3 linked regions of the Pelodiscus sinensis genome follow. The protein of the gene in region 2 interacts with the protein of the main gene of each other region in a pairwise test. Links are inferred from orthologs where the notes say so. Each region holds a gene or a part of one and is shown on either strand. Other genes may lie near its edges. The genes, in order: HMOX2, GIT1 and PFDN1.

Region 1 (7,351 bases), on a different chromosome or scaffold from region 2:
ACACACACACCCTTCAGTCTAGTCTGTGAATGAAACCATCACTCTGTAGCTAAGCCTTGAGGCATTGAGCCCATTCAGCTCCCATCTTCAGGATCATTCCCATCTGCCGTGGAATCTTCTGATCCCAGCATTCCACCATTCTCCCATTCATAGATTCCAGGACGAGAAGAGACTGCTGTGATCGTTCAGTCTGGGCTTTTGTATAGCACAGGGCTTGAAACGTCCCCAAAATAACTCCTCGAGCAAAGCTTTTAGAAAAACAGACCATCTTTATTTGAAAAATTGCCAGCAATGGATACGCTACCGTGACTGCTGGTAAATTGTTCCGATGGCTAATTACCCTCACTTAGAAATGTACGCCTTATTGTCCAGGCTGAATGTGCAGCAGGCACAGCTGGGGGAAGAGTGCATGTCCCTTGTCTGGGGGACAGACAAACTCTCTGAAATATATAGTATATAGTAGATAGCTGGCCCTTTCTTCACCCCTGCGCCCTGCTGGCCCAATGAGGGTATAGCTAGCCTGGTCCCCATCTGGCTCCTTGCTGCCCCATCCCTGCCAGTAGTCATTCTACACGAGCCCTTTCCTTTTCCACATTATAGAAAACAATCAGATTCTAGGCACATCCCATTGTCCTGGCACAACCAACCCCTGACCTTGCTTTAAGTTATGATAAGAGGAAGTTGGCTACCGAATTTGGTGGTCCTAGCTCTTACCCTTTAGGAGGAGTTCTTGAACAAAGGGACTCAGACAGATGGACAGGCTGACAGACGCACATTTCTAAAATATATAGTAAGATTATATATCAGGGAGGCCACTCCAAGAATTTGGTAAGTGGTCAAGGGCCACTCTCTTCCATGATATTAATGGGGGAGATGTGAGATCTGGGAGGGAATTTGGGTGAAGGAGTGGGTTGTGAGTTGGGGCATGAGTATATAAGGGGGTGCAGGGATTTGGGGTATGATCTGGGGCAGGAAACTGAGGTACAGGAGGAGGTGTCAGGTCTGGGAGGGGGTATAGGTGCAGGAGAGCATTCTGCTCTGGAGGAGGGGTAGAGGTCAGGGCACAGGGCATGGGAGGGTGTTGTAACCTGGGGCAGAATGCAGTGGTTTAGGTGGTGACCTAGGATAGGAGGGGCTTGTGACCTGAGCCAGGGGATTGGCATGCAGGGTCTAGGAGGAGATATGGGTGAAGAAGCATGATTGTGAACTGAGTTAGGGATGCAGGTGAGAGGACAGAGGGTTGGGAGGAGGGTGTGGGTGGAGTGCCAGGTGCAGGCTCTGCCTGGGAGGTGCTTACCTTAGGCGGCTCCCAGCCATCAGCCCAGTGGAAGCCTCAGGCAGGCTCCCTGCTTGCCGCAGCCCCACATACCATTCAGAGTGGCCAACTGCAGGGGCCATGTGCTCTCTGTGTGTTGCACTCTCCTGGGGGAGGGACGGGGACTTCCACATGCTACCTTACAGGGAAACTAAGACAGGAATCCATGTTCTCAGGCTCAGGTTAGATGCCCCAGTTAGTCAATGAGTCCGGAATTTATTTAGCGCAGTTCAGTTCAGAGCAGCAGCTTATCCATGAGTGAAGGATATGAAAGCTGCATCCAACACAAAGGGTGGCAGGTGGCACTGAGAAACTGAGCAGCAGAACAAGTAAAACAGCAAATCCTTCTCTGTGTCTAATTCAGGAGTTCTCAACCTTCACCATCGTGGGAACCACCCCTTACTAAAGAGTGTCTTGTGGGCATTTCCCTCCAGTCATGACTGCCAACCTCCTATTTATGACTGCTTGCCCATCTCCTTTCCTTCCTCCCCCCTCTGTTTGCTTGCAGACTGATTTCCTTGTCATTCACCATCATATATCTTCTCCATGGCAACTGAAGCAATTTCTTACAAATCACATTCAGTGTTTTAGTATTTGTCATTTCCTTTAATGGAAAAGAACAGCGGGAAAAAAAGAAGAACCAGCAACATGCGGCCAAACAGCTTTCTGCGGTTGCCCTAAAAGGGCCAGAGTTTGTGACCTATTGTTTTAATTTAAGATTGTGGGGAGAGACTTTTCCTTGGGAGGCCGAGGAGGAGCTTGGGAGAGGAATTATTCTTCCAGGAGCCTGAGAAGCATGGGTCAAGAAATTCACTAAGGACAGAGGATTACAGAAATATCCAAAACACAAAACCTGCTAGCAATGGGGGATCTCTTGGAAATGTAATACGGCAAAACACAAAATGTCCATTAAGTTCTTGGAAGGTATTGTAGACAACTTTATCTTCCAAGACAAGACAACTTGTTCCAGGAAATGGAGGAAATAACTGGGGGACAGCTGTTTTTGACTTGATTCTCATGAATACGAAAGACTTGATAGGAAGCTGAAGGTGGAAGACAGTTTGGGTGAAAGCGACCATGAAATGATAGATTTCATGATTCTAAGGAAAGGAAGGAGTGAGAGCAACAGAATCAGGACAATGGATTTCAAAAAAGCAAATTCACTCGAAGTACTGGTAGATAAAGCCAGATGGGAAGAAAATTCTAAGGCCATGTCTTCACTGGGGGAAGATTGATGGTGCCATGATTGATCTTCCGGAATTCCATTTAGTGGATCTAGTAAAGGCCCGCTAAATCAAACTCAGAGAGTGCCCCTGTCATAGGTCCTCACCTTGCTCTTGTGGGGAGTAAGGGAAGCCAGTGGGGGAGTTTGCTCCCATCAGCTTCCTGCTGTGGGAACAAGGGGAAACTCTAATTAAGGCATGTCAACTCCAGCTATGTAATTAACAGTGCTGGAGTAGCATATCTTAATTTAACCTTCCTCTTTATTGTAGACATGGCCTAAGGGAAAGAGGAGTGTAAGTCATCGAGCTTGTTCTCAAGGAGACAATGTTAAAGGCACAACTGCAAATTATCCTTCTGAAAGGAAAGATAGGAAGATTATTAAGAGGCCAATATGGTTCCAACAGGAGCTCTTTAAAGACCCACAAATCAAAAAGGAATTTTACAAAAAGTGGAAACGTGGACAAATCACTAAGCAGGTATACAAAAGAATAGTACAAACCTGTAGGAACAAACTCAGAAAGGCTAAGGCACAAAATGAGTTAACTTAGCAAGGGTCAGCAAAGGTAATAAGTTTTTAAAATACACTAGGAGCAAGAGAAAGAGAAAGTGTAGGTTACTTTTCTTATGAGGAAATGAGTGAGCTATTTATTACCTATCTTGCTTTAATCTTAACCAAAGTGGTCAATGGTGACCCACTGAATAGAATTAATATTAACAAAAAAGGGAAAGATTAGGATAGGAATAGTTAGATAATTTAGAGTACTTAAGTCAGCAGGTCCTAATGACATGCATCCTAGGGTACTTAAGGAACTAGCTGAAGCAATTGCAGAATTGTTTGAGAACTCGTGCAGGATAGGTGAGGTCCCAGAAGAGGTAATGCCTACTTTTAAAAGGGGTGATAAACGAGGACCCAGGGAATTATAAACAGTCAGCCTAACTTTGATACTAAGCTATTGAAAACGATCAACTTATAAGCACCTGGAAAAGAATGGGCTTATAAGGACTTTCTGTCGTGGATTTGTGAGACCAAATCGTTCCCTATCAATCTGATTTCCTTTGTTGACTGAGAGTGCGGGGGGGGGGGGGGGGGCAGAGGGTGGGGTGATCTGGGGCTAGGAGAAGGGGCAGGATGGGAGGTGCGTGGATGGGTGCGATTGGAGGGTCAGTGAGTCTAGTCTATTGCCTAGCGCGGGGCGGGGGGAGTCTGGCAGGCCCTGGGGCGCTCAGTGCTGGTGACAGACAGGATGGGACACAGGGGCTACGTCTAGACTGGCATGATTTTCCAGAAATGCTTTTAATGGAAAAGTTTTCCGTTAAAAGCATTTTCGGAACAGAGCGTCTAGATGGGCACGGACAATTTTCCGCAAAAGCACTTTTTGCGGAAAAGCATCTGTGGCCAATCTAGATGCGCTTTTGTGGAAAACAAATCTCAGCTGTCTACACTGGCCCTTTGGCACAAAACTTTTGCGCAAAGGGGACTTTTGCCCGAAGGGAGCAGCGTAGCATTTCTGCAAGAAGCGCTGATTTCGGACAGTAGGAAGTCAGGGCTCTTGCGGGAATTCAAGCGGCCAGTGTAGGCAGCTGGGAAGATTTTCCAGAGAAGCGGCTGATTTTCCGGAAAAACGGGCCAGTCTAGACACAGCCCCTGAGGGTGTTGCAGGAGCCAGGGACCCAACCCCCAGTGGGAGCGCAGGAGCCGCCAAGGGAGCGGAGGGAGCAGGAGGCTGCGCACCACGACCTGTGGGCGGGGCCTCTGCAAAGGGGTGGGCACTGTTACGTCACCGCGCCGATCACGTCAGCCTGGGCTGAAGGACAGAGAAGCGCGGCGCTGCCCCGCCCGCACATGAATAATTAATCCCCGCCGGAGGCTTTTGTCCCGCCCCTTTCAGCAGCCAGGGCAGCTGCGGCGCCGAGGGGAGCTGTTGCCGAGCGGGTGAGCGCGCGGGAGGGACTAGCCCTGAGGGGGCGCGGACCCCCTGCCGGCCGGGTGGGCGCGCGGCCGCGGGAGCCGCCTCGGGCAGGGGCGGGCGGCCCGGGGAGCGAGGGGCCGCGGAGCCGTAGCCCTGGCAACGGGCGTTGAGCCGGGCGCGAGCGCGGGGGCCGGGCCGGGGTGGGGCGCGCGCGGGTGGACGGGGCGGGCCCGGCGGGGTCCGCGCCCGAGGCCTCGTGTCACGGCCGCCCTGGCCGGGTGCAGCCGTTCCCGCCTGCTCCCCTCGCCCCTCCTTCAGCTTCGGTCTCCTCCCGCTGGGCCCGCCTGTGCTGGGCCGGGCTCCGCCCTTCCCTTGCTGCCCCGGGGCCCGGCAGCTGCTGCTACTCCCGGAGCCCGGCAAGTTTCGGGTGGCCGCAGTGTGGTCCGGGTGGCGCTGGGGTCTGGCTCTCCCCGTGCAGCCCCTGCCCCTCCCCGCCGTATTGCGCAAGGGCCCAGCAGTCCCCTTGCCCCCCATCTAGCTACTCTGTGTCGATCACTGGCCGACCCGCAGCGTCCTCCTCGTTAAGCTTATTGCTTAAATCATTCTGGTTAGGAACACAATAGAGCCTGTGCATGAGCGTATCTTTAAGAATAGAGCATACTTGTGTGACTGGAGGTCTCAGGCTAATTTCAGTGTTGCGTGTCTGGAGCTGGGTGTAAAAGGAACTGATGGGCTTGCTAAAAATTCTTCGTGGTAACGGGAGTGCGTTGCAAACAAGCAAGCAAATGTTTGACAAGTATTATGCGTGGATGAGTAACTGCATTACTGAAGCACAGAATTATAGGACTGGAAGGGATCTCAGTAGTTCACTCCCCTGCACTCAGGACTAAGTATTATCTAGACCAGCGTTTCCTCAAACTGTGGGTCCTGATATCCCATGGGGTCGTGAGCAACTTAGAGGGAGATTGCAAACAATTTAGAGGGGGGTTGCGGTATCATAAGTTTGAGAACCTCTGATCTAGACCATACCTGGTATGTGTTTGGGGTTTTAAGAGTAGGTAAGATGATGCAGATTTTGCAACTTCTTTAGGTAATTTATTCCAATGTTTAAATACCCTAATGGGAAGCTTTTCCTAATGTCCATCCTAAACTGCCCTTGCTGCAGTTTAAGCCTGTTGCTTCTTGTCCTATCCTCAGTGGTTAAGGAGAACAATATTTCTCCCTCCTCCTTATAACAACTTTCTCCAGATTACATAGCATTTTCTTAAGGAAGGAACTGTTTGTGTTGAGAAGACAGATTAGATGACTTTGTAAAGGGCCATATCACTGTAAGTAGAAATACCCAGAAAACACACTACCTGCTTTCTTATGGTATAAATGACTCATAAATGACTTGGTATTTTTATCTTTCTCTGTAAACAGTTTTATAAAAATGTACTAAAGAAATGGAGCCAATCGGAGCAGAGGCAGCAGGGCACTAGAAATATATTTAATCTGCTAACCATGGTAATCCATTAACAAGACACAAACAATATGTTACTCTTTTCTACATGCCTTATTTCTGGAAATCACTCAGGAAAATCTGCAGTCTTCTCACTCCAATGAAATTGGTTGGTACAACAGACTATGCCAGGCCTAGTTACATTTCTAATATGCCAGTGCATCAATCATAATGAAAACTGCTTGAACAGTGGTTAATTGATCCAGTGAGCCATAATTTGTGACCTAGCAGAGACAGAGATTTTCCTAAAGTAAATGTCAAAAAACTGCTGCTGGGAATTTAGTTTCCTCAATAGGTTCCTTCTGTTGTCTAGTCAAACCACAGGATATACTTGGACAATTTCAAAATAAACCAATAATGTGATTTTTTTTTTTTAATCGAAAGATCTTCAGTTTTCCCGTATGTCAGCATTTCCTTGTAGTATCACAATTCATAGATGTACTGCTTTTTGCTGCCCACCGGATACCTCTTCCGCTTAACTCCAGCTGACTCCTGAAGAAACTGACTGCTGTACTAGAAGTATTGTCTCTGGAATATCTTCATTCTGAAATCAGTTATAGGCATACACCTCTGAATTTATCTAGTTGGCTTGCTGTTTTTTTGAATTGTTTAGTGTTGGGCTTACTAAGTGTCTTGTTCAACCAGATGATTAACAGTTTACTCCTCTACCATTTAGGAATCAAAGATAATCTCTTGCTTGTACTGAGATAAGGAAGCATCCATCCCAGATGTGTTCCTTCCTGCAATCTTGAAAAGAAGATGGGAAGGTTCACAAATATCTACTCTTAGCAATCACAGGAAATCTCCCACCTGTTCCCAACAAATGTGAACAATAAAACTAAAAGATCATGTCCCTGCTTCATCAGATCCAGTTTCCTGCTTTTGGCTATGGACATACATTATTGTATGTTTAATTGAAAAGTGTCATACAGGTAGTCCCTAAGCTACAAATGCATCGATTTACGACCGTTCAGCCTTACAACCAACCTCCCATTAAGCATGTCCCCGAGTTACGAACACACAATCCGCGCTTAAGAACAGCGCAGTTACATGTAATTGAATGGGGTCCGACTTACAAACAGATCGAGTTACAACCAAGTGCTTGGTATGTAACTCGTTTGTAAGTTGGGGACTATCTGTACTCCTATAACGTACTTGGTCAAATGCAGCATGGCACATGAGCTTGGAGACACAATCATGTGAGGGACTACGTTCTAGCTGCCACAGTGGAGTGACAGTAACATGGAGGATGTTCCATGATATCATGGAAAGCCTACTCTCATCCATTTTTCCCCCTTCCATTAAAAAGCTCTTCTGCCCTCTTATACCCTGTATTTTCAAAAGAGACGTGGAACTAAATTTTCTATGGCAAGTCTGGCAACTGTAAATTATATTGTCAAG
Region 2 (7,277 bases):
GGCCACAGCCACAAGCTGCGGGCAGCACCCGCCCAAGCACCACCCAGGGGTCTCACCCGAGCAGGGCACGGAGCCCAGCGCGGGCAGCCCCAGGGACAGAGCCCAGCCCCCACGCCGCGGCTTGCCCTGCCCACACGCCCTGCCCCTCCTCAGCCCCAGCCGCCACGAGCTCAGCCTGCCACCGTGCGCCCCTTGCAGCTGGCGCCGGGTGGGCGGAGGCAGGGGGGCAGCAGCCCCAGCTCCCAGCTGGGCTCCCAACCTGATGAGCTGGGCCCTGGGGTCCAAGCCACAGGGACCGTGTGCAGGCCCCCCGCCGCTGGGCCGGAGCCCTGAGCTCTGCCCCACATGGGCCCAGCCCAGCGACCTGGCCAGCGCCCAGCGCTGGCACCGGGCCCTAGCCGGGCAGAGGGAGGTTTGGGAAGGGGCCGCCAGGACAGGCCTGACTAGGCCCGGACAAAGCCTCTGCAGCAGCCGGAGCCCGGCGCCCAGCTGAGGGAAGCAGGTTTGATGGGGGAGCAGGCCCAGCTCCAGCGCCTGCCACAGCCCTGCCCCAAGGAGTTACCCCTTCCCCATGCACCAGCCAGCACGCAAGCAGTGCCGGGGCCCCCGGCCTCCCCGCAGCTGAATGCCAGGAGGTGGGGGGCATGAGCACGACCCCCCCCAGCCCTGGCACCGGCCCCACAGCCCAGTTCCCGTTATCCCTGCAGAGGAAGCCGGGCTGCTGCGGATGGAGCCGGCCCGCCCCACGCTTCCTTCCTGGCTGCTCAAGAGCGCCTGGCCCAGGGACCTGTGCAGCAGCGCTGTGCTGACTCCCCGCACGGGGGCACCCTCCAGTCCCATGTGGCTCTGGGAGCGGGGAGGGGCCAGTGGCCAGGTTAGAGCCGGGGAGGGGGGGTGTCCCAGAGCTACCTGAAAAGGGCACGGAGGCCTCCTTCAGACACAGGCCTGTCCCGGCTCGCTACAGAGGAGCCCCCTGCCCAGGGCACAGCGCCGGTAAAGCGCCCGGGTTTCCAGCCCCCAAACAGCTCCCCAGCCTGTCTGCAGGGCACTGCAGAGCTCGCCACTGGTGGAGGGGCAGGCAGCCTGGCTCCCCCCGGCGCAGGAGCCCCTCCTGGCTGGCACCGGGGTGCACGACTGGGAAGGGGAGCTGGCCCCAAGCATGCCACCCCCTGGCTCGTCTCCGCTCTGCCCCACGGTGCGGGTGGGGAGGAAGCGCGCGTGCCCCACCCCCAGGCCCTGAAGGATGCGCGTGGGCACCTCGCAGGCGCGCAGATGGCTCAGGCACAGGCGGCCTTGGCAGGGAGACGGGCTGTGTCTGTGCTGTGTGCGCACAGCCGCCGGCAGGAACAGAACGCACCGCCCACCCCCCGGCTGCAGGCATCCCCAGGTGCCGAAGGGCACAGGGCAGGGGCAGCCGGAGCGACCCCACCCCCGGTGCCAGCCTGCCCTTCCCTTCCCTCTCGTAGCAGTAGGATCTCAGAAGCCACCGGGTGCGCAGGACGGCCTTGTGGCCCCGATCCCACCCTGAGCAGCTGGAAACATGGCACGGCTATAGCTGGCTCCCGGTGCCCGCCCATGCCCGGACAGCAAGGCCCTCTCCTGGGCACGCCAGCAGGGGGTGCCCTCTTCCCACCTCACCGCTGCTCAGCCCTGGGCCCTGCAGGGCACCTGCTTGGGAGCCCCCAGTACCCCTCGCTGGCATGTGCCCCAGGCCAGCCCATGCCAGGCACGTCCAGAGAGTAGCAGAGGGGGCAGGCCAGGGCTCCTGCCCAGCCCCAGGGGGTGGCTACCACAGGGAACTGGATTGGGGCCACAGATGTGCTGGGCTCTCAGCAGGCTGGGAACACCCCAGCGTGACCGCGCTCCCAGCTCTTGCCCAGCCCGAGGCCAGGCTGGCGCACACCCCCAGCCGGAAACAGCCCCGCTGGATTTTCAGGCTCATTTCCTCATGTGGCTATGGATGGAGGAGCCGGCTCCCAGTCCCACAGCGAGGGACCCCGTCACGCCAGGCTGGGCTCGGTGTGACACACGGGGGCACCACACCAGGGCCACGCCCAGCTCCCACAGACCATGTTCATCCGGGCACCGGGCCCCCATTCCAGCCCCGCGATCTGCCTACTCAACGCCCCAGCGGACGCACCCTCTCGCCCCGGCTGCCCCTGCCCACGGCACCCAACCAGACCCCTGCCGGGGAACCCTTCGTGCCCGACTGGCACGGCTCCCGGCCAGGGCTGGGGGGCACCCTGGGCTTTGGGAAACAAGAGCACTTGGCCTAGGGAGTCGCCGGGGTTGGCACCTGGGCAGCAGAGCCTGGGCTGGGGGGCACGGCGGGTGGGGCTGCTGGGGGGCAGGGGAGAGGCGCCCGGGCGGTGCGAGGGCTCCCACCGCCACCATGCGCCACGGCGCCGTGCCAGGGGCGCGTGCCCAGCCCGTGCCCAGCTGGCAGGGGCGCAGCGAGATTCCCCCCCCGGGCACCGGGCTCTCTGCATCCCCGCCAAGCCCACGCGGGCTCCATCCCCGGCAGGAAGGGCCCCCGCTCTACGCACCGGGGCGCGGGGGGGGCCGAGCCTGGGGAGGGCCGGGGTCCCCGCGCACAGCGCAGCCGCGGGGCCTGGCACTGGCCGGCCGGAGCCGCAGGCCGGGCGCTCACCTGGGGCGCTGCAGTCCGCGCACACCTCGCTGCGCGGCACCTTCCGGGACATCCTGCGCGGCGCGGCCTTGCGGGCCAGCTCGGGGCCGGGCCGGGCCGGGCCGTGCGGGGCTCGCGCCGCTCCCACGGCTCCGCGCTCCTGCAGGAAGCGGCGCAAGCCCGGCCCCTGCGCAGGGAGGGGTTGGGCGCAGGCTCCCCGCCCCCCCCGGGCCCGGCCTGCCGGAGGAAATGGAGCGGCGGGCGCACGGGGGCGCAGCGCAGCTCCAGCGCGCAGGGGCGGCGCGCAGCAGGGGGGCGCGGGCTCCGGTCCCTGCTCCATGCGGGCAGCCGGGGGCGCTCGTCTGCGCCGCGCCCCTGCCTTGCGCCCTGGCCCCCCGTCTGCACGCTGGGGCCCTGCCTGGGGCTGCCCGGGGTTCCCACCTCGGGGCCGCTCCGCTTTATTGGTTTCACACCTGCAACCCCCCCACCCCATTGGCCATTTGTTGTCCCTGGCTCTGCGCCCCTGCAGGAGGAGGCGGGGCCTTGGCTCGGGTCGGCTCCGCCCACTTTTGCAGGATTTCGGGGGGGGGGGGCTGCCAGCTGGCTCCCCTCGCAAGGTCTCTCCCCCATTGCCCCCCATGCATGGGGAAAGCTGCCACCATCTCAGCCATTACACCCCTCTGTGGGGCGACACTGCAGATCCCCCCCCAGGGCCAGCGGGGACTTCAGCGCCACTCTCTGGTGTGGTCCCTGCGTCCCCTGCCCCTTTCCACCCGCCAGGCCCGTCCTCTCAGACAGCCCGCTCAGCGCGTCCGCTGGCAGCCCCTCACCACTCTGCTCCCCGCCCCCATATGCCTGGGGGACCGACCCACGTCTCTGCTGCACGTTTCCACCTGCTCTCCAGGCCCGGCCCCGCACGCCCAGGGCCAGTTCTGCTCAAGAGCCGCCCGCCCGCCCGCAGGCCGGGACTAGGGATGTAACCGTCCATTAACCGATAAGCGAAAGCTCACAGGTCAGTGTTACAGACCACACGTATTCCCCTCCCCTCCCCTTGCCAGGAAAGGATTTAGCAGGCTGGCCAGCAGCCCGGCTCATGCCAGGTCTAGAACCTGCCCCTGCGGCGGCTCTGCTTTTAAAGTGTATCAGGAGCCAGGCGGGCGGACAGGCAGCCCCACTCAGTTCCGACTCGCACCAGGTCCAAGAGCTCAGATCCCCCTTGGACAGGGGCTGCTTTTTAAACTGGCTCCCCTTGTGGACCAGCTCCAGCCTGGCACCCCATGCTGCCTCTGATACACTGGCTGCCAGCCCCACCCCCGGGACTAGAGAATAGTCGACTAACCGATAAAAATGCACGAGGTTACTCGACTATTCCGTTAACCGATATTTAACATCCCTAGCCTGCACCCCAGCTGTGACAGCGGAGGAGGGAGAAACCCAGGGCAAGCTGGGAGCTACGGGGCTGAGTCCCTCTGCCCATCCCGGCCCTCCTCCCACCGGCGGCTGCAATAGCTCCACCGCCCCGCTCTGATCCAGGAACCTTGGTGGGGAACCCAGGTGCTGCTTGGGCCCAACGTGGGCATGGTTGGTGGTTCTGCGGCCACAGGTGCTGTCTGTGCCCATGCCCACACTCACGCTCAGCCTCTGTGCGCCGATCGGCGGGGAAAAGCCTCCCCCGCCCAGCTGGCCTCTTGCATGGAGAGCACCTGCCCAGCCCTGGGCCGAAGCACTGCTGTCCAGAGACACCCACGGGCACCAAGCCACCGCGCCTGGCGCTGGGCCCGGCCCTGCTGGGCAGGAGCCGTGGTGCAGACCCAGCTCGCTCCGCCCCCGGGTCTGCTCTGCACTGAGACAGGGTTGGGCCACAGAGCTGGGGTGCAGGATGCAGCTCTGGAGGGGGGATTGGGAAAAAAGACAAAATGCCTCTGGCGTGCCTGGGAACCCCAAAGAGCCGGGGAGGGGCCGTGAGCGCCTCAGGGCTAACCAAAGCCTGGAAGCCCGCCTGGGCCCTGGCCTGCCCCTGAGCTGTGGGAGCAGCCGCATCCTGCGTTCCCCTCCCCCGCCTGGCCCCCCAGCTCTTCCCAGCCCAGCTGCCCCTTGCACCCGCGAGGGTGAGGCCGCTGCCGGTTGCTGTGGAGACAGGTCTGATGTCACCGAGGATCGCTGGCTCCGCTGGGGAAATCGCTGGATCAGTTTGCGGGCGCCCTCCCCGGCATGTGTCAGAAGGGCCACCCCCTCCCTCCGGCAAGGACACGCTGAGCTACGGTCCAGGCCACGCTCCACAAGAAGGAGCACGTGACCGGGCGTCCCTGCTTCTGGAGCACCGTCCTCCAGGCCGCAGAGCCATAGGGTTGCCAGATGGTTTAACAAAAATACCGAACACCCTCCAAAAAAAAACAAACGGGAAAAAATTCTGTTGAGCAAAAAGAAAAAAAAAAAAAGGCACTGTGCCTTTAAATGGCGCTGAGCTCCTCACTTCCCCACACCTGCCAGATGCAGCAGGGGAAAATGCAGATGCAGCAGGCTTCCATCCGAGGGAAATCGGAAATACCGGACATTTCACATGTCCAATGTTTTCTGGTTTTTTACTGGATGGGGCAAACCGGACACCTGGCAACCCTACAGAGCCAGGCCCCTGGGCGCAGCCCACTAGCTTTCTCCCAATCACCCCCACCCTTTGGGAGCAGAGGGACGTGGGGGAGCCGCCCAGCCAGCCGTCGTCCCAGGGCGTTGCTCCCCGAGAAGAGTGGAACCTCGCCCCAGGGCGCCGGCTTCCCCCAGTTACAGGGGCCAGGCCCGGAGGCCAGCAATGCAGCACTAGGCGAGGAAGGGCAGGCCTGGCCCTGGACTCTCTCGGCGCCCGTGAAACCCGCGGGGGGGAGGGCAGGATCCTGAGGCCTGGGAAGGCGGGATGCACGTCCGGACGGGCACCGCTGCCCCAGGGCCGGCTTTGCCGAGGCGCTGGGCACCCTGGAGCCCACTGGCCAGGCTGGCGCTGAGCACTTCTGCCGGGGGGCGGGGCTGGCAGGACAGGACGCAAGCCCCCGGTAGCCCCGCTCCATTGGCAGCCCAGCAAATACCCCCCGGGGGTTCTCCCCCCTCCTCGCGCTTGCGTCCCCTTCACCAGCCTCACCCCCCCGCAGCCACCGCTGGGAAGGCAAAGGCCCTGTCTGCCCCCAGCCCTGTGCCCCGCACGTGCCGACTCGCCTGGGCGGAGGGCAGGGGCCGGCAGCAGGGGACCTGTGGCAGGTACAACCCCTCCCTAGCACTAGCCAATGTCTATGCCCGGGCGGGGAGGGGTTGCTAGTGCCGGCGCCCTGGGGTGGCACGCACCCTGCCCTGCCTGAGCAGCCCACGCCCTCGCCAGCTGGGCCCTTGCCACGCTGCAGGGGAAACGATCTCTGGTCGGCTCTGCTCTGGGGGCGTCCACACCCCTGTGGCTGCCTCCTGGCCCTGGGCTGCTCACAGCCGGGCCTGGGTGCTTAAGTGCCCATGCCCGTAGACAGGGGGTTGCTCTTTTAGGTGCCGGCCCACGCCGGGTGGGAGATGACTGGGCAGGGCGCTCCAACGCTGCCCTGGGGATGTGGCTGCGATAAAGGCTTGTTCACAGCTGGCCCAGCGAGCAACAGCACAGCCTAGACACCTGGTCTGGAGACAATGGGCCAGGGACCAGGGCACCAGGCTGGGTGTCAGGATGACTGCGGGCCACGCCCAGCTTTGCCACTGCCCTGCGTGGTAACCTTGGGCATGTCACTTCTCCTCCTGCCGGGTCTACCGTGTTGGGCTCCGTGGAGTGGGGACTGACGCCGCTACAGGTTTAGCTCCCTGCTCAGCTGCTGCTTGGAGGCCCACAGGCCTGGAAGAGCTGCTCTGTGGCCTGAGCTAGCTCCGGGATCAAAGTGGCTCCGGAAACCCCGCACACGGAACTCACACTAGTGAACCTTTGGGCGCACACTCAAAGTGTGAACCGTTCTAAGCCCCAGCCAGGGGCGCAGGGCACCCCCGAGGGCAGGGGGCGGGGCAAGGGCGTGACACGCTGTCAGCGTGCCCGTTATCCCATCGCCATGGCGAAGGATGGGGCTGTAGCCCAGGGGCCGAGGGGAAGACAATCCGCCAGGGCACGCTAGCAGCACTCCAAGTGTGACGCGTGTCTCTCTGACCCCCCCGCGCGTGGGCATGCACGACGCCACGTCGCCTGCCACGTCGCCTGCCACTGGGCTGGAGCATGGCCGCTGCTGAACAATGCAGAGCCACACACGCTGGGCCGAGAAATGCCAGCCCCAGCTGGGCGTGCGGGGGCTGCTCCTCGGAGCTGAATGCCGCTTTGTTGCGGCTCCTCGAGCAACCCCCCCTCCACCATGGCGCTGGGCTCAGCCGGCACGTCGCAAGCGGCTGCCCCGGCCCTGGAGAGCTGGCGCGCTGGGGAGGAAAACAGGCCTGGAGAGGGCTGGGTCCGGAAGGACGCCCCTGGTAATCCCCGCTCCTGCTGGGGCCGAGCGTGTGTGGCCTGTGGCTGCAGGGGCTGGCGGGGGGCGGAGGCAGAGTGGGACGGGCATGCCAAGCACAGGGGAATGGAAGGGGAAGCGGGGAAGTGTGTCATATACCCTGTACTGCACCCTAGGCATGGCCTCTCTCTGCCCCGCCCGTGTCC
Region 3 (7,041 bases), on a different chromosome or scaffold from region 2:
TGCATGTAGTTTTTGCCTGCTAGATGGGTTAGTGACTTATGACATACAGGAGGACAGACTAGATGGATCTGGTAGTCTGTTCTGGCCTTAAACTCTATGACTTTGATCTGCCTACAGGCTGCATCATTCACTTCTCTGCCTCATTGGAAGGGATTGAAATTAATTTCCTTTGAAGGTGCCTGTCAATACGACCTCCATATAACACCACAAAATTCAATTCAGCGGCATGAATAATGTGCTTACTCGCAGTTTACAGGACACAAAGAGACAGTACATACAGTATACTGGACCCCTAGAAGAGAGACACAGAACACCCCTTCAAGTGGCAATTTGTCGATACTATGATACAATACCAGAAAGAAAAACCTTAGTACTCCCAAACCTTGGTCTGTCTTTAATTTTCAGAGCATTAAGCACAAACACTTATCCATTAAGAATGTGCTATTAACTTAAAGACTAGTTCATGTAGCCTTTTACAAGAGGGTATCGTAATCACAATAGGAAAGCATCATTAGCATTCCATCAAATTTTGATGTGCCAGACCCGAGACATCAAAATACAGAGTAGCTTTAAAAACAACAAATTGTCTGGTAGCACTTTATAAAAGTTATACCAGACTATTTGTTGTTTTTTCTGTACAGACTAACTCGGCTACCCCGATAGTAGCTTTAGTTTAAGATTGGACTGTCTTCAAAAGAAACCTATGTGCAAAGATTACATTTTCCTTCTTTACTAGTATTGTTTTAAAATTAATATATGCCAGAGTGCACCTGAACAAACAATTCTTTGGTATCAATTTCACTACACCTGGGTCTCTAAAGAGTCCAGAGAACACCTTTCACAGAACTTAAAGAAGTCACCATTTTAGTTCCTTTGTACAACCACAGCCCCTGAACGAGTGCATTAAATTAGGAGACCCACAATTTTTAGGGACAAATACATATTTCATGAGGCATAAAGTTGAACAGGCTAATTATAACTTCTTGCAAATCTACATTTTGTCATCAGCATTCATGAGGAATACAAACTCTGCTGGTGGAATCGATAAACTTTCATGAAGTCCCAAATGTGATTATAGTTCACATGAGAAAAACCAACAAACAAAAATATGTAATCACTCACTGAAATAAATTGTGTCTGAAAACTGGTAGGTAGCAAACATTGTACCTATAAGGTTGATCCTGAGAAACACAGTGCAGTAAGGGGGGAGGGATAGCTCAGTGGTTTGAGCATTGGCCTGCTAAACCCAGAGTTGTGAGTTCAATCCTTGCAAAGGCCATTTAGGGATTTGGGACAAAAATTCATCAGGGATGGTACTTGGTCCTGCTGTGAAGGCAGGGGACTGGACTCGATGACCTTGCAAGGTCCCTTCCAGTTCTAGGAGACAGGCAATCTCCATTACTAAAGTCTCACTTACCGAAGATCCATTGAAATGATAATTAAAAATGGGATAAGATGACACCTAAACAAACACAGTATGATACAAAAAAGCCAGAATGCTTTTCAAACAAATAAGTGACAATGAGAGAGCCTCTGTCCCTGTATTCAACAACTTACAGGAGATAGAAAAGCCCTGCAGATGGCCAAGAGTGAATTTCCCCTGTGCAGGATCACCACTATTCTAACTGCCACCTCTGGATACGACAGTTTCCCATTCTCATACAAAGAAGGTATGTTTTGAAAAAGAAGAGTAGAGGTATAGCAGGTAAGATGTAATACAGAAGGCATCTAATATTTACAAACCTGGTATTGCTTCATTGACTGTAGAAAGAAATCTCTCAAAGTGGCATAATCTACATGCAATTAATTACAGCAGGTTTTATTGGCAATGGGGCAGAGTGTAGCCGTAACCTTCTCCATCAGTAAAAATTACTCACATTCTCCCTACACCTTCATACATGCGAGTCTCATCCACCAGAGTCATAATCTCCGCATCCGTGAGGTGTGCGTGCTTTTTTGTCCTGTTGAGTTGTTCAATTTGTATATCTGCCAGCTTCACCTTTTGCTGCGTGTCGATAACTTTGGCCTGCAGTTCAGTAAAAGCCTAATGGGGGGGGGGGGAGAGAGGGCCCGTTACGGCTTGGGAAAGGATGCTCTCGAGCACTATGGCCATAGCACGTTGGGCTGCTGTTTCCGTTTGGAGCAGCAGGGGCTTGCAAGGGAAGGGCCCCCAGAGATATGGGCCAAGGCCAGGGCCAGGGCCAGGGCCCCCCCCAGCGACACGGGCCAGGGCCAGGGCCCCCCCCCGCGACACGGGCCAGGGCCAGGCCCCCCCTCCCGCGACACGGGCCAGGGCCAGGGCCAGGCCCCCCCTCCCGCGACACGGGCCAGGGCCAGGGCCAGGGCCCCCCCCAGCGACACGGGCCAGGGCCAGGGCCCCCCCCCCAGCGACACGGGCCAGGGCCAGGGCCCCCCCCCCAGCGACACGGGCCAGGGCCAGGGCCCCCCCCAGCGACACGGGCCAGGGCCAGGGCCCCCCCCAGCGACACGGGCCAGGGCCAGGGCCCCCCCCCCAGCGACACGGGCCAGGGCCAGGGCCCCCCCCCAGCGACACGGGCCAGGGCCAGGGCCCCCCCCCAGCGACACGGGCCAGGGCCAGGGTCCCCCCCCAGCGACACGGGCCAGGCCCCCCCTCCCGCGACACGGGCCAGGGCCAGGGCCCCCCCCAGCGACACGGGCCAGGGCCAGGGTCCCCCCCCAGCGACACGGGCCAGGCCCCCCCTCCCGCGACACGGGCCAGGGCCAGGGCCCCCCCCCGCGACACGGGCCAGGCCCCCCCAGCGACACGGGCCAGGGCCCCCCCGAGAGACTCGGGCCGGGCCGCGGGCGGGGGGAGGGGCAGGGCCCCGCTGTTTGCCCGGGCCAGGCTCGGGACACCCAGCAAGGGCGGCCCCGGGGCCTCCGGCTGCAGCCCCCGAGCGCCGCCCCCAGCGCCCCAGGCGGGCCCGGCCGGTACCTTCTTCAGCTCCAGGTCCACGGGCGCCGCCATGTTGCCGCACTCTGCGCACGCGCATTCAACGGAGCGGGAATTGCTCCAGTGCGCGTGCGCAGCAACAAGAGCGGCTGGCTCAGCACCCAGCAGCACGTGCTGTGACCAGCAACCCGGGAGCGGAAGGGGGAGGGGGAGGGGCAGCCTTGCACCACCCCAGGGGCAGCCTTGCACACAGAAGCTTTGCATCCCCCCAAGGGGCGGCCTTGCACACAACCATGTAGACTCCAAGGCAATCCAGGAGGGTTGTCAACCCTACCAGCAAGACAACCCCCCCCCCCCCCCCATTGCACTGCAGCAGGGATACCACCCAGATCCACTTCAGGCCATTGGAGCTAACGGAGAATCACCATTAGAATCTGCAATATGGGGCTTTTGACACACAGTGGAGCAGCTCTAACTCCATCCCATAGAAAGTGGTGCCAGTACATACCAGCCCAGGCCACTGCAGAATTGTAGTGGCTGGAAGTCTGCACTGTTGCAAATCGATCAAGAGGCCACATAAACATAATGGATAGCTCATCACACTATATAGGTGGACATGTAGCCTGTAATTATAGGTTGCCAACCAGGGACCAGAAACAGTATCACGTGACTGTACATGTAGTTATTAATTAGCATTATTACATAACAGGTGTGTTTGGCATTTTATCAGCCAATATGAAGATAAAGTCCTTGCCTGAGGAGCTGGGCATCCCAGGAATTATTCCGGTTCCCGTGAAAGTCAACAGGAGCATGCCATTGACGTCAGTGAGGGTAGGGCCTGGTGTAATTACACTGGAAGATTTCACAAGGAATGACGGGAGGGTGAATCAAAGGGAAAGGAGAAGCTGTTATTGAGAGAGCATTGTCCACCAGGATTCAGATCAGTTCACTAGTGACTGTTGTGGGTTTTAATTCGCATTGGAATTAAAGTTATGGAGCCGTTTTGTTTCCCAGAGTCTGAGCCTCAAGCGAGGAAGCATAAAATCCCACAGCACTTGTAGTGATCAAATGCAATGTGGAAAGTAGGATTTAATTGGAACGGTTTGTAATGTTAGATCAGATTAATTTGTTGATGTGGGTGCAGTGCTTTAAACATGTAGGCTATGTCTAGACTGGCATGATTTTCCGGAAATGCTTTTAACGGAAAAGTTTTCCGTTAAAAGCATTTTCGGAAAAGAGCGTCTAGATTGGCATGGACGCTTTTCCGCAAAACCACTTTTTGCGGAAGAGCGTCCGTGGCCAATCTAGACGCGCTTTTCCGCAAAAAAGCCCCAATCGCCATTTTCGCGATCGGGGCTTTTTTGCGGAAAACAAATCTGAGCTGTCTACACTGGAAAAGTTTTGCGCAAAAGAGACTTTTGCCCAAGCGGGAGCAGCATAGTATTTCCGCAAAAAGCACTAATTTCTTACAGTAGGAAGTCAGTGCTTTTGCGGAAATTCAAGCGGCCAGTGTAGACAGCTGGCAAGTTTTTCCGGAAAAGCGGCTGATTTTCTGGAAAAACTGGCCAGTCTAGACACAGCCGTAAAGCATCATAGGGCTAATCTTGAGAAGTGCTAAGAACCTGTGGCTTCTGTTGGTTTTAATGGAAACATTGGCCAGTGCCTGACCACCCAGGTTCTTATACCCCATGCAAGAGAAGATATAAACGCCCTGTAATCCATTTGTGCAATACTACACCACCAAGCAAAATTCATTCCTGAGCAGGCAGTGATGAGCTTACAGCCTGAAACATGAGGATTGGCAGCTCCTCTAATTTACTGTCATTGCAGACATTCATAGAAAGGGTTGTTCTTTTTACAAAGCCTCTCCCAGCCTTTTTGGAAACGTACCTAACTATATACAGCCGTTTAAGGAGACATTATATTAAAATGCATTTCCCTTTGTCCATTTAAAATGTGTTGCTTTCCAATTTCATTGAAAGGATTTCTGCCCCTCCGTTGCAGGCAGCCTCCAACTGCTTCTTAATTTGAAGAAATAGGGAGGTCTCAATCCTGCATCCTGTGGACAAGTGTCCTCATCACAGAAACCATAGCTACAGTAGGGACAAATAGCCAGTCTTATTGGAACCTCAGCAGAGAGCCAAGGACTGAAAGAGTCATAGGAACGCTACCTAACGGAGCCCTCCCAGGTCAGAGTCCGGGTTCATTGGCATGGCAGGGCTGGCGAGCTGCCTTCGGCTGCCCACTGTTCCAGTCCCGTGCAGGGTTCTCAGCCCAGCACCTTGCACTAGCAGGACAGGTGCATACAAGTGGGATTTTAAAGAACTGAAAAGCCTGCCCCGTACATCAGAGCGAGGAGTCCCAGGAACTGTCCCCTTCAATCCACGAGCTCCAGGGTGGCCCAGTGCTGATCCAAAGCATGTCTCATTCAGCAGGGCTGCTGCAGTGCGTGGGATGAGCACTGGAGCACAAGCGAATGCGTTGTGAAAGGGTTGCTCTCTTCCAGCTTAGGGGGAGTCACATGCTGAGCAGAACCAAACACAGGGATCCTAGAATGACACAACCCTCAGGCTGACTCTCAGTTTGAATTCCCGAAAGGGGGTGTGCAATGCAAAAAGCTCGCAAAATAGGCTCCTGGGCTGAGGACTGGAGCGGCTTTGTGTGACTGTTGTTAGCAACCAAATTCCTTTTTGCTAATGGTGACCAGGTGAGGTCACCTCTAGAAAAATGTGCAGAGCAAGGAAGTGAGTTATTCCTCCTAGCCAGAATGCTGGCGCTGGATTTGCTGTGTTGGTTTAAGCAAACCGCCCTTTCACATGCCGTAGTGGGAGCATTTGGTATTGATTTGGGTGATCTAAAGCCGTGTGGCAGACACGGCGCAGGATGGCATGCGGGTGTGGGCTGTTTGTCTCCGCACCCATTAGTGAGAGTGAGGAGATCCCTATGGCCAGAGGAAAATGGGTAACTAAGGCACAAAGTCAGAACTATCGCTAACGACAGAGGCAGACTGATGATTATTAAGAAGACCTTGCTGTGACATGGGGCCCCTCATCCAGGCAGAGCCTGACTTGCTTTACAAAAGAGCTTTTGGAAACGTAAGACATAAACCAGAAGTGAGCCCCAGGGCTGCTGAGCCGTGCCCCAACCATCCCAGGGAACCCCAGCCTACAGTCACACACAGAAACACATCCAGCTCTCTCCTGGATATATATGTAGTCCAGCCACATTATAACATGTCCCCTTCTGTCCGCATAAGGGAGAATACCACATCCTCCCACCCTGAGAGATACGGTGGCCTATACCACGGCTATGATATTTTCTTTCTGGCCACACAGTGAAGGATAAATCATAACGAGGTTGGGCCATTACTGGGTTAAAACAGCCTAGTTTATATCTGGTTATTTGTGCTGTGTAGACATGGCCTAGTGTAGGGGTAGCCAACCCATTAAAGGCAAAGAGCCACAATAGTTGGGGATATAGCACAAAGAGCCAGGGGGGGGAAGTTGTCGAGCAAAAAAAAAGGGGGGGGGACACTGCGCCTTTAAACAGAACTCTGGGTGGCAGTGAGCACAGAGAAACAGGGGACGGGGGCCATTTTTAGGGGCACAGGGTTAGCCTTGTGAGCCATGGGGGAGGCTTCCTGAGCCACACTTGAAGTGGGGGGAAAGAGCCGCATGCAGCTTGCGAGCCGTGGGTTGGCCAGCCCTGGCCTACTGTATGAATTCCATAGGGCTTCTGTCCACACTACGGTTTGGATGGGACTCTGTCCTCCCCCCTTTCTGCCTTCAGGGCAGCTGAGAGCGATGGCGAGTGCCCTAATGTGGACGTGGCATCATGTGCTTTTAGCACGGCATCAACTACACTTACTGGCTGTGTCTAGATTGGCCAGTTTTTCCAGAAAATCAGCCACTTTTCCGGAAAAACTTGCCAGCTGTCTACACTGGCCACTTGAATTTCCGCAAAAGCACTGACTTCCTGCTGTAAGAAATCAGTGCTTCTTGCGGAAATACTATGCTGCTCCCGTTCAGGCAAAAGTCCCTTTTGCGCGAAACTTTGGTGCAAAAGGGCCAGTGTAGACAGCTCAGATTTGTTTTCCACAAAAAAGCCCCGATTGTGAAAATGGCGAT

The links.
Region 1: the proteins of GIT1 (region 2) and HMOX2 interact in a two-hybrid assay, tested with the Homo sapiens proteins (2 studies listed by BioGRID and IntAct). The link is inferred for Pelodiscus sinensis from reciprocal best matches to the Homo sapiens genes GIT1 and HMOX2.
Region 3: the proteins of GIT1 (region 2) and PFDN1 interact in binary tests that used the Homo sapiens proteins (3 or more experiments, as listed by UniProt). The link is inferred for Pelodiscus sinensis from reciprocal best matches to the Homo sapiens genes GIT1 and PFDN1.

Annotation. Positions count from the first base shown.
Region 1 is NC_134726.1:3,838,709-3,846,059, forward strand, and holds the start of HMOX2 (heme oxygenase 2), read left to right. Parts: upstream 1-4,318; 5' UTR 4,319-4,472; intron 4,473-7,351.
Region 2 is NC_134731.1:2,290,636-2,297,912, forward strand, and holds the start of GIT1 (ARF GTPase-activating protein GIT1), read right to left. Parts: upstream 3,001-7,277; 5' UTR 2,970-3,000; coding exon 2,651-2,969; intron 1-2,650. UniProt on the Homo sapiens protein: GTPase-activating protein for ADP ribosylation factor family members, including ARF1.
Region 3 is NC_134727.1:2,154,840-2,161,880, reverse strand, and holds the start of PFDN1 (prefoldin subunit 1), read right to left. Parts: upstream 3,083-7,041; 5' UTR 2,990-3,082; coding exon 2,957-2,989; intron 2,045-2,956; coding exon 1,878-2,044; intron 1-1,877. UniProt on the Homo sapiens protein: Binds specifically to cytosolic chaperonin (c-CPN) and transfers target proteins to it. Binds to nascent polypeptide chain and promotes folding in an environment in which there are many competing pathways for nonnative proteins.